Linked DNA regions of Elephas maximus indicus. The protein of the gene in region 1 interacts with the protein of each later gene in a pairwise test. Links are inferred from orthologs where the notes say so. Each region holds a gene or a part of one and is shown on either strand. Other genes may lie near its edges. The genes, in order: UBASH3B and DOC2A.

What was found.
Region 2: the proteins of UBASH3B (region 1) and DOC2A interact in binary tests that used the Homo sapiens proteins (3 or more experiments, as listed by UniProt). The link is inferred for Elephas maximus indicus from reciprocal best matches to the Homo sapiens genes UBASH3B and DOC2A.

What each region holds. Positions count from the first base shown.
Region 1 is NC_064835.1:15,667,438-15,671,341, reverse strand, and holds the start of UBASH3B (ubiquitin-associated and SH3 domain-containing protein B), read right to left. Parts: upstream 3,139-3,904; 5' UTR 2,753-3,138; coding exon 2,625-2,752; intron 1-2,624. UniProt on the Homo sapiens protein: Interferes with CBL-mediated down-regulation and degradation of receptor-type tyrosine kinases. Promotes accumulation of activated target receptors, such as T-cell receptors and EGFR, on the cell surface.
Region 2 is NC_064830.1:89,198,567-89,202,470, forward strand, and holds the start of DOC2A (double C2-like domain-containing protein alpha), read left to right. Parts: upstream 1-1,438; 5' UTR 1,439-1,576; coding exon 1,577-1,621; intron 1,622-1,881; coding exon 1,882-2,158; intron 2,159-2,552; coding exon 2,553-2,632; intron 2,633-2,818; coding exon 2,819-2,893; intron 2,894-3,020; coding exon 3,021-3,130; intron 3,131-3,904. UniProt on the Homo sapiens protein: Calcium sensor which most probably regulates fusion of vesicles with membranes. Binds calcium and phospholipids. May be involved in calcium dependent neurotransmitter release through the interaction with UNC13A.

The DNA.
Region 1 (3,904 bases):
GACTCTGCAGATGTGGTTAAGGATCTTGAGATGGGAGATTATTCTGGATTGTCCAGGTAGGCCATTAATGCAATCGCATGTATCCTTATAAGAGAGGGAAATTTGACATAGACAGAAGAGAAGGCAATATAACCATGGAGACAGAGACCGGAGTGTTGCAGCCCCAAGTCAAGGAATGGCAGCAGCCTCCAGAAGCTAGAAGGGGCAATGAATAGATTCTCCCCTAAAGCCTTTGGAGTGAGCACAGCTCTGCTAACACTTTTATTTTGGCTCAGCAATACTGATTTTGAACTTCTAGACTCCCAAACTGTGAGAGAAGAAATTTCTTAATTTATTTCTGGGTTCTGAATTTTATAAGCCACCCAGTGTGGTGTAACTTGTCACAGCAGCCACAGGAAACTAATACAGTAGCTAACACTTAAAAATTGACCATTATGTGTCAGGCACTGTTCTAAGCATGTTATGAGCGTTAACTCATTTACATCCTGGCTCTGGGGCCTGAGCTATGCACACACACTGCCAGGGTTTGAATCCCAGTTTCACTGCTTACTGTTGTGACCTTGAGCAAATCAAGTAATCTCTAAGTCTCAGTTTCTCCATTCATAAGATGGGCATATGGTACCTTCCTCACTGGGTTGTTGGGAGGATAAAATGGTCAAGTGTTCGGAACAATATATAGCAAAATACTCAGTAAATGCTGGCTGTTATGAGATCTCCAGGATTGGGGGAGCCAAAATTAGACCATCATAGTAATCTGCCAGGATACGTACAAGGTGCCAGAATCCAGTGCAGGAATACAGATGTTCCCTTCAAGCTAGTTTAAATAGCAACATATCTGAGGAGTTCAGTTAAGTAGTCCTTCCCTTAATTAAGTGATTTAGTTCCTCGACGCTGGCCTCTTTTCAGAAAAGGCAGATGCCTGGGACCACACTAATTCTGCGTTCAGCAGACTTCCCCGCTCGGAGCGCCAGATCTTAAAGGGCTCGCACATCGGATCATCCACATGGAGGGCCTCACTCGCAGGATGCACAACAGATGCGCCCTCCACATCTTTCCCCTTGAACTCTGGCATCTGGCCCTGGAACTCAGAAGTCAGTAGGAGACAGAAATCATTACATCTCATGGCCTTCCAAGGCCGTTCCAACCTGTCTCAGTAGACCGGATGGAACGACACATTCAGGGGTCTGCTGTGATTAAGAGCCAAAATAGGAAAGAAAAGAGTAAACAAGCTTTGCTCAGGGGCAGAGGAAAAAAGATCCAGCATTATCCCCTGGGAAGAGAGCAATCAATCAATCAATCAACTTTTATTAACTTGGCCCTTCCCTTTCTGATAAAGTATGTCCAACTCTCCCATTCAGGTGATATAATTCAAAGAGGCAGAGCCCCACAGGATTCCAGACATCTACATCCCCACTGAGCCCTGGTGGCCCAGTGGTTAAAAGCACTTGGCTACTAACCTGGCTACTAACTGAAAGGTTGGACGTTCAAACCCACCAGCCTCTCTGTGGAAGAAAGACGTGGTGGTCTGCTTCCATAAGAGATTTATAGCCTTGGAAACCCTATGGAGCATTTCTGCTCTGTCTTATAGGGTTGCTACAGCCTCAGAAACTCTATGGGGGCAGTTCTACCCTGTCTTAGGGATTCACTATGACTTGGAATCGACTCCGTGGCCGTGTTTTGTCTTGTTTTTAAAGTCCCTTCCTAAGAAACCCAAGAAATCTGCACGCTGTTTAGAGACAGGGACCAGGGAGAGAATGGCCTGGCCAAGGGACCGTAGCTTGCTCTTAGGCAGGCTTCCAGCCCACAGACTGGAGTTGACCAGGGAAAGAATTCTGCGGCTGCTCCCTGTGCTGGCAACCAGGCCTCTGCCCAGCAGGCTGCAGGGACAGCCACCTGCCCCCATCTCTGCCCTGCCCTACCCCACCCTCCAAAGGAAAGAAAAATGAAAGAGGACAGCTCCCCCTCCTTACTCTCAGGCACCCACAGATTTCTGCGCTGCCGTCACCATTGACGAGAACCCATGTCCCCTGGAGGAATCGCTTCTCCTTCTCATTCCACCCTCCCAATCAATGAACACGCAGCAACACCCACGCTCCCGCTCCTCCTACTCCGGAGGGAAACTGAACCAGCGAGCGACATCCGGAGCTGGAAGCCACCGCAGTAGGGGCGCCGGCCTCCTTGCCCCACAGTCCCTTGTCCTTTCCCAGCCACCAGAGGATCCCCTGCCAGCAAAACGTTCAGGATTGAAAGGATGCCTCTGTCGGGTCCCGCCTCCCCAGGGGCTCGGCGACGGGGACCTCAGGGAGCGCGCTGGAGAACGGCTTAGTCCTGTCCCGCGGAAGCCGGGCGCAGGGCGCAGGGCACGGTACCCGGGGCTGGAACCACGTGCCCTGGCCCCACAGACTTAAGCATCCAAAGGCAAGCTCCCGCGCGGCGTCTGCCCCTTGAGCCCCGCCCGGAGGAGCCGAGTCCCAGGCAGCCGGCGCGCCCATCCTGCCCCCAACAGGTTGTGGGCACAGGACGCGCGCCGCCTGTCAGCAGGCGCGGGGAGGCGAGCCGGAGCGAAGCCGAGGGGCAGGCGGGCGAGTCGCGAAGGTCGCGGGGGCTGACGCACGGTCACTCACGCGCGGGCTCTGGGGAAGCCCATGGAGAGGAGCAGGTCCAGCGCCGATCCATGCTTGATGGTGCCTGGGCGCTGCTGGCGGTGCCGCCGGGGGGTGACTTTGCTGTACAGTTCCTCTCGCGCGGCCATGCCGAGGGCGCTGGGGCTGCTGTACCGAGCCAAGGCTCAGCGGCCAGCCATCTCCGGGAGGCGCCGGGCCGGGGCGTGGGGAGTGAGGACCGTAGGGGGCTTGGAGACCGAAAGCCGGGCGGGTGTTGGTGGTGGCGGCGGCGACGGCTCCGGGCTAGCCCAGTGTCGAGGCGCTGCCGCTTCCTGGTGAGGCCACCGGAGCCAGAGCCGCCGCTGAGCTGCTTCTGCGGGACCAGCTGGCAGCTGCTCCGGCCCCAGTGCCCCCGCGCGGCGCCGGCAGTAACCTTCGCTCCTCCGCCCCCTTCCTTCTCTGCTCGGAGCAGTCCGGGAATTTGCAATGAGTAATTTTTGAATGGATCAAAAAGGAAAAGCAGCCGGGTGGGCTGGCCCGGCCTTGCCTGTGCCGGGGCCCCGCCCCTCTCTTAAAGCGGCCGCGCTGCCGGTGGCGGCTCGGGCGGGGCTGGAGCTGTAGTCCCGGAGGCCGACTAGGCGGGGGATCCCAACCTGCGAAGGCTCTGGGGGCGTGGGCGCCTGAGAGCCACCCCCCCCCCCCCCCCCCCCGCCAAGCCCCAGCCCTTTTCTTGGCTTGCATTTAGCCCAGCTGGGCCTCAAAACAGCAGATAACTTGTTTCAAGTTTCATGTGGTTCTAGATGGGGTTAATAATGGAAATCCAGCGGACCGAAGGATGACATTAGTGGATCAGAAGGCCGAGCCATAAGGGCCTGATGATAAAAAGCTTTGCTTCTGAAAGATTTTGCAAAAAAAAAAAAACCCTGTTGGGGGCCGGGTTCGGGTCAGCCTGTTCAGTGACTAGACCGAAAACCTTGTACATGGTCAGCGACTTGGGACAGTTACTTCAGTGGAAAGAGTGGGATCTCAGGTTCCAGAAGGGAGAGGGGGGACCAGGGAGAAGAGGGGGTGGAAAGGAGAAAAGGAAGGGTAAGAGGAAAGGAGGAAGAGGGAGGTGAGGGAGGAAGTGGAAGGAGGGTGGGGGCACCAGGGGGTGCGAGGACTAGAAGGAACAGAGAAAGGGCACTGGCATTCCATCAAGAGGTGTTCAGGATGGAATGGGCCTATTTTCATGAGGCAGTGAATACCTTATGAAAGACCGACCTGCCACTTCTCAGTAAAGATGACTAAGTGAATTGCGT
Region 2 (3,904 bases), on another chromosome or scaffold:
CGTGTTAACTGATACCTTGACTTTTGCCCATTTGATAGGTGACAAATGGCATCTCAGTGTAGTTTGGTTTTTCTCTAACTTTTAAAGCACAAAGACTTAGTGATGTTGACTGTGCCAGGCCGTTTGGGGCACTGGGGACTCAGATGAATGAATCAGCCTCTGCACGCTGTGGAGCTCTCTGGCTGGTGGCGGAGACAGAGATGTAAACAGGATCCACAAAACTGTCAGCAGAGTCTGAGATAGCACCGGAAGATGAGGAGCAGGGGACAGATACTCCAGGAAAGCGCCTGGGAAGAGGTGACCCGGACTGACCTCTGAAAGAAGGGAAGGTATCCTCAAGGAAAGAAGCCTGTGTGAGCAAAGGTTCTAGGCCAGGGACAGCAGGTAGATCGGACCCCCTTCCTCTGCGCACCCCAAGTCACTGCGGATCTTCAAGCTCCGCCCACAGCCCCGCCCCTACGGATAGGGCGGGGGAGGCCCAGAGGCCCTCTTTCCTCCTCCTTGCTCTCTCTGCGGGGGAGGGGCGTGAGAATGCACGGGATGGGGGGGAGGAGCCGGCGTCGCCAAGGCAACTAGGCGGGTGGTCTGGTCCGGGAGACCCGCGAGCGACGGAAGGAAGAAGCGAGGGAGGGAGGCAGGATGGGCTTAGCGCGAGGGCCGGGGTCTCCTGGGAGGAGTTGGGAAACACCAGGCAATTCTCACTGTTGGTTCTTGGTGGCGCAGGGAGCCCGTGTGTTTGCGACTGTGTGTCTGCGAAGTTCTCCGGGTGAGTGTGCCAGTGCGTGTCTGGGTTTGTGCATGTGTGTTGAGCGTGCGCACGTGGGCATAGGCGTGTGTGCGCGGGAGTGTCCATGCAAGATGTGTGTGCCGGCCCATGTGCACATGTGTGTGCCAGCCTGCGTGCTCATGAATGTGGTGCGCTCGTGTGCGCTCCTCAGTGTACCCGGGCGGGCGGGCTGCCCAGGCGGGGTGGAGAGGCCCGCCCCCTCCCCGGCCGCCGGCCGTCCCTCCCCACCCCCCGCCGCCTGCGCCTGCTGCATCCTCCCTCCACCTCGCTCACCCCCTCCTCCCCGCACTTTCTTCTGGTCTCCCTCCCTCTCGGCTCACGCAGCCGGACTCGCGCTCTTCTTCTCGTTGGCCGCCCTGGAAAGCGCCGGCCGCCACCGCCCAGCCTGCACCCGCGGGCCTCCCCAGTGCTCGGGCACCTGTTGGACGCACAGAGACAGGTGCAGGGGGCTGGGCTGGCGGGGGCTTGAGGGTGAGGGTGAGTGTGTGTGTTAGCCTGTGTGTGTCTGCGGGGGTGTTCCGCTCTCTATCGGCTGTGATTTCTGGCTTCCTGGGGAGCCAAGCTCAAGGGGAAGCATCTGAGGCAGGGGTCCCCACCTTGGCTGAAGGGAGCGACCAGGCAGGCAGGCAGGCAGGCACATCCTGGGGTTGAACGGAGAGACAGTGAGCCGTGAGAGTCGAGAGGGGTGGGCCTGGTGCAGAGGGCTGGACGGAGCCTCCAAGGAGAGAGAAGGGGGCCTATGGGGCCGCTTATTGGGAGGGCAGGACCCAGGCCAGACAGAAGCCCAGAATGAGGGGCAGGAACTGGGAAGATGGACAAAGGGACAATTTAGAAGTAAGTGAGCAAAACTGAGGTGGAACCAGGATTTATTCTGGGGGTTAGTGGGGTGGCAGCCCAGCCCCTGTGGGGCAAGGCTTGAGATCTGGAGGGCCCAGGCCTCTTGCCTGCCCACCAGCTGGCAGAGGCCACCCTATCCCTGGACACCCAGGAAAGGAGGCCAGTGAGGGCCCTCCAGGTGGACAGGGCTGCCTCAGCAGCAGACGGCAGGTATGAGGAATCAGCCCTGGGCTCATGTTGTCTTCCCACTCCCCCAGCAGGGGTGCTGCATGAGGGGCCGCAGGGGTGACCGCATGACCATCAACATCCAGGAGCACATGGCCATCAATGTGTGCCCTGGGCCCATCCGGCCTATCCGCCAGATCTCAGACTACTTCCCCCGGCGGGGACCAGGACCCGAAGGGGGTGGTGGAGGCTTCCGGGAGGCCCCTGCTGGTCTGGCCCCCCTGGCCCTGGCCCCCCCTGTGGCCCTCCTTGGGGCTACCACTCCCGAGGATGGAGCTGAGGTGGACAGCTATGACTCTGATGATACGAGTGAGTTTGGGGGCTTAAAGAGCCCAGGGTGCTAATGGGGGCCTCCAGGCTTGTGGGGAGAGGATTGGGCCCTGTGGGGTGCATGTGCAGGGCGGTGGGGAGGCGGCGGCCACTGCTTCCACGGCGGCAGTGTGGAGATTAATGTCTCAGCATGGCTCAATATTAAATATTTCTGCTGAGACACTCAGCCACCCACACAGCCCTAGTTGTGGCCGAGGCAGGGACCCAGACGGACAGACACACACACACAAACATGCCCACTCATTTTCTTGCACACATGCTCCTGGGCTGATAGACACATGAATATACCTTCACAGCCATCACACCTGCCCACCTGGTACGTCTCACACACCTGTCTTGACACACTGACTCACATCTTTCCCCTCTTCTCCAGCTGCCTTAGGCATGTTGGAGTTTGACCTTCTTTACGACCAGGCCTCCTGCACGCTGCACTGTAGCATCCTCAGGGCCAAGGTGGGCACTCCCTGCTCCCCAAGCCCTAGCAAGGGTGGGTTTCCATCCTTCCTTCCCTTCCCCAGTCGTGACCCCTACCCTTTCCTTCCCCGCCCCCTTCCTGGCTGTCCACACCTCAAGAACCCAGCTCTGCAGAGGGAGGGAGGGGCTGACACCCACAGTCCTCTTTCCACCCCTCCTCCCCAGGGCCTCAAGCCCATGGATTTTAATGGCCTGGCCGATCCCTATGTCAAGCTGCACCTACTGCCTGGAGCCTGCAAGGTAAGGGCCTCCTCCGTCCTCCAGCATGGCCCAGCCTTTGGGTCTGTCCTAGACCCCTGCAGCTCCTGCCTTCAGCCTCTGGCCATCTGGGAACAGGGATTTAGAGCCCTTCGTCTCCACAACCCAGGCCAATAAGCTCAAAACCAAGACTCAGAGGAACACACTGAATCCCGTGTGGAACGAGGACCTGACATACCGTGGGATCACAGACGACGACATCACCCACAAGGTGCTCAGGTGAGGGCTCCATCCTCCCTGTTCCCAAGCCAGTTGACACTGTAACCCTCTTTGGTGGGTCGTCTCCCTACCTCTCGTTCAGCCCCTACCTCTTTGTTGCGTGAGAACATTCAATGTCTCCTATTCCCTTTGGCAGCAGGCCAAAAGGTTTCCCTGGAATTACTGCTCCTCTGACACAGGGCTGCCCCCTTCCCACCGGCCAGTTGCCTTACTCCTGACCTTTGTGTCTTCTGCCTAGAAAGCGCCACCCTCCCCTCCATGCCAGCTGAACTTGCATGCATCATGTGAGGGTCAGCTCAAGCTCGGTCTCCTCTCTGGTCATGAAGACCCCTTCTCAGAGCGCTGACTTAAGGCAGACCTCTGCAGCTGCCCATCCTGCTCCCTGCAGCCCCCTGAAATCTCTAAGGAGTGAAGTCTCCGGGGGCAGAGAGCTTCCTCCATCACCCAAGGAGGTAGAGCCGTGGGGAGCATCTCCTCAGGCCAGTGAAGGCGGCAGAACCCCAGCAGGCGTAGGCTGGGACCTCACCCCTTGGTTCACCCTATCTGGGCAATAAGGAGCCATGCGAGGTTTGCAGCAGGGAAGGGGCATGGTCAGTGCTGTGTCTTAGCGATCGTGTTGGTGGTGATGGAGGTGGCGATGTGGCGTGGAGGTAGATTGGAAGGGAGGACAGAGGCAGACACCAGAAAGGTTGGCACAGATTCCAGACGAGAGAGGATGAGGCCTGAAAAGAACTGACATATTACTGAGCGCTTACTGGTGCCCCACCTGGCCAC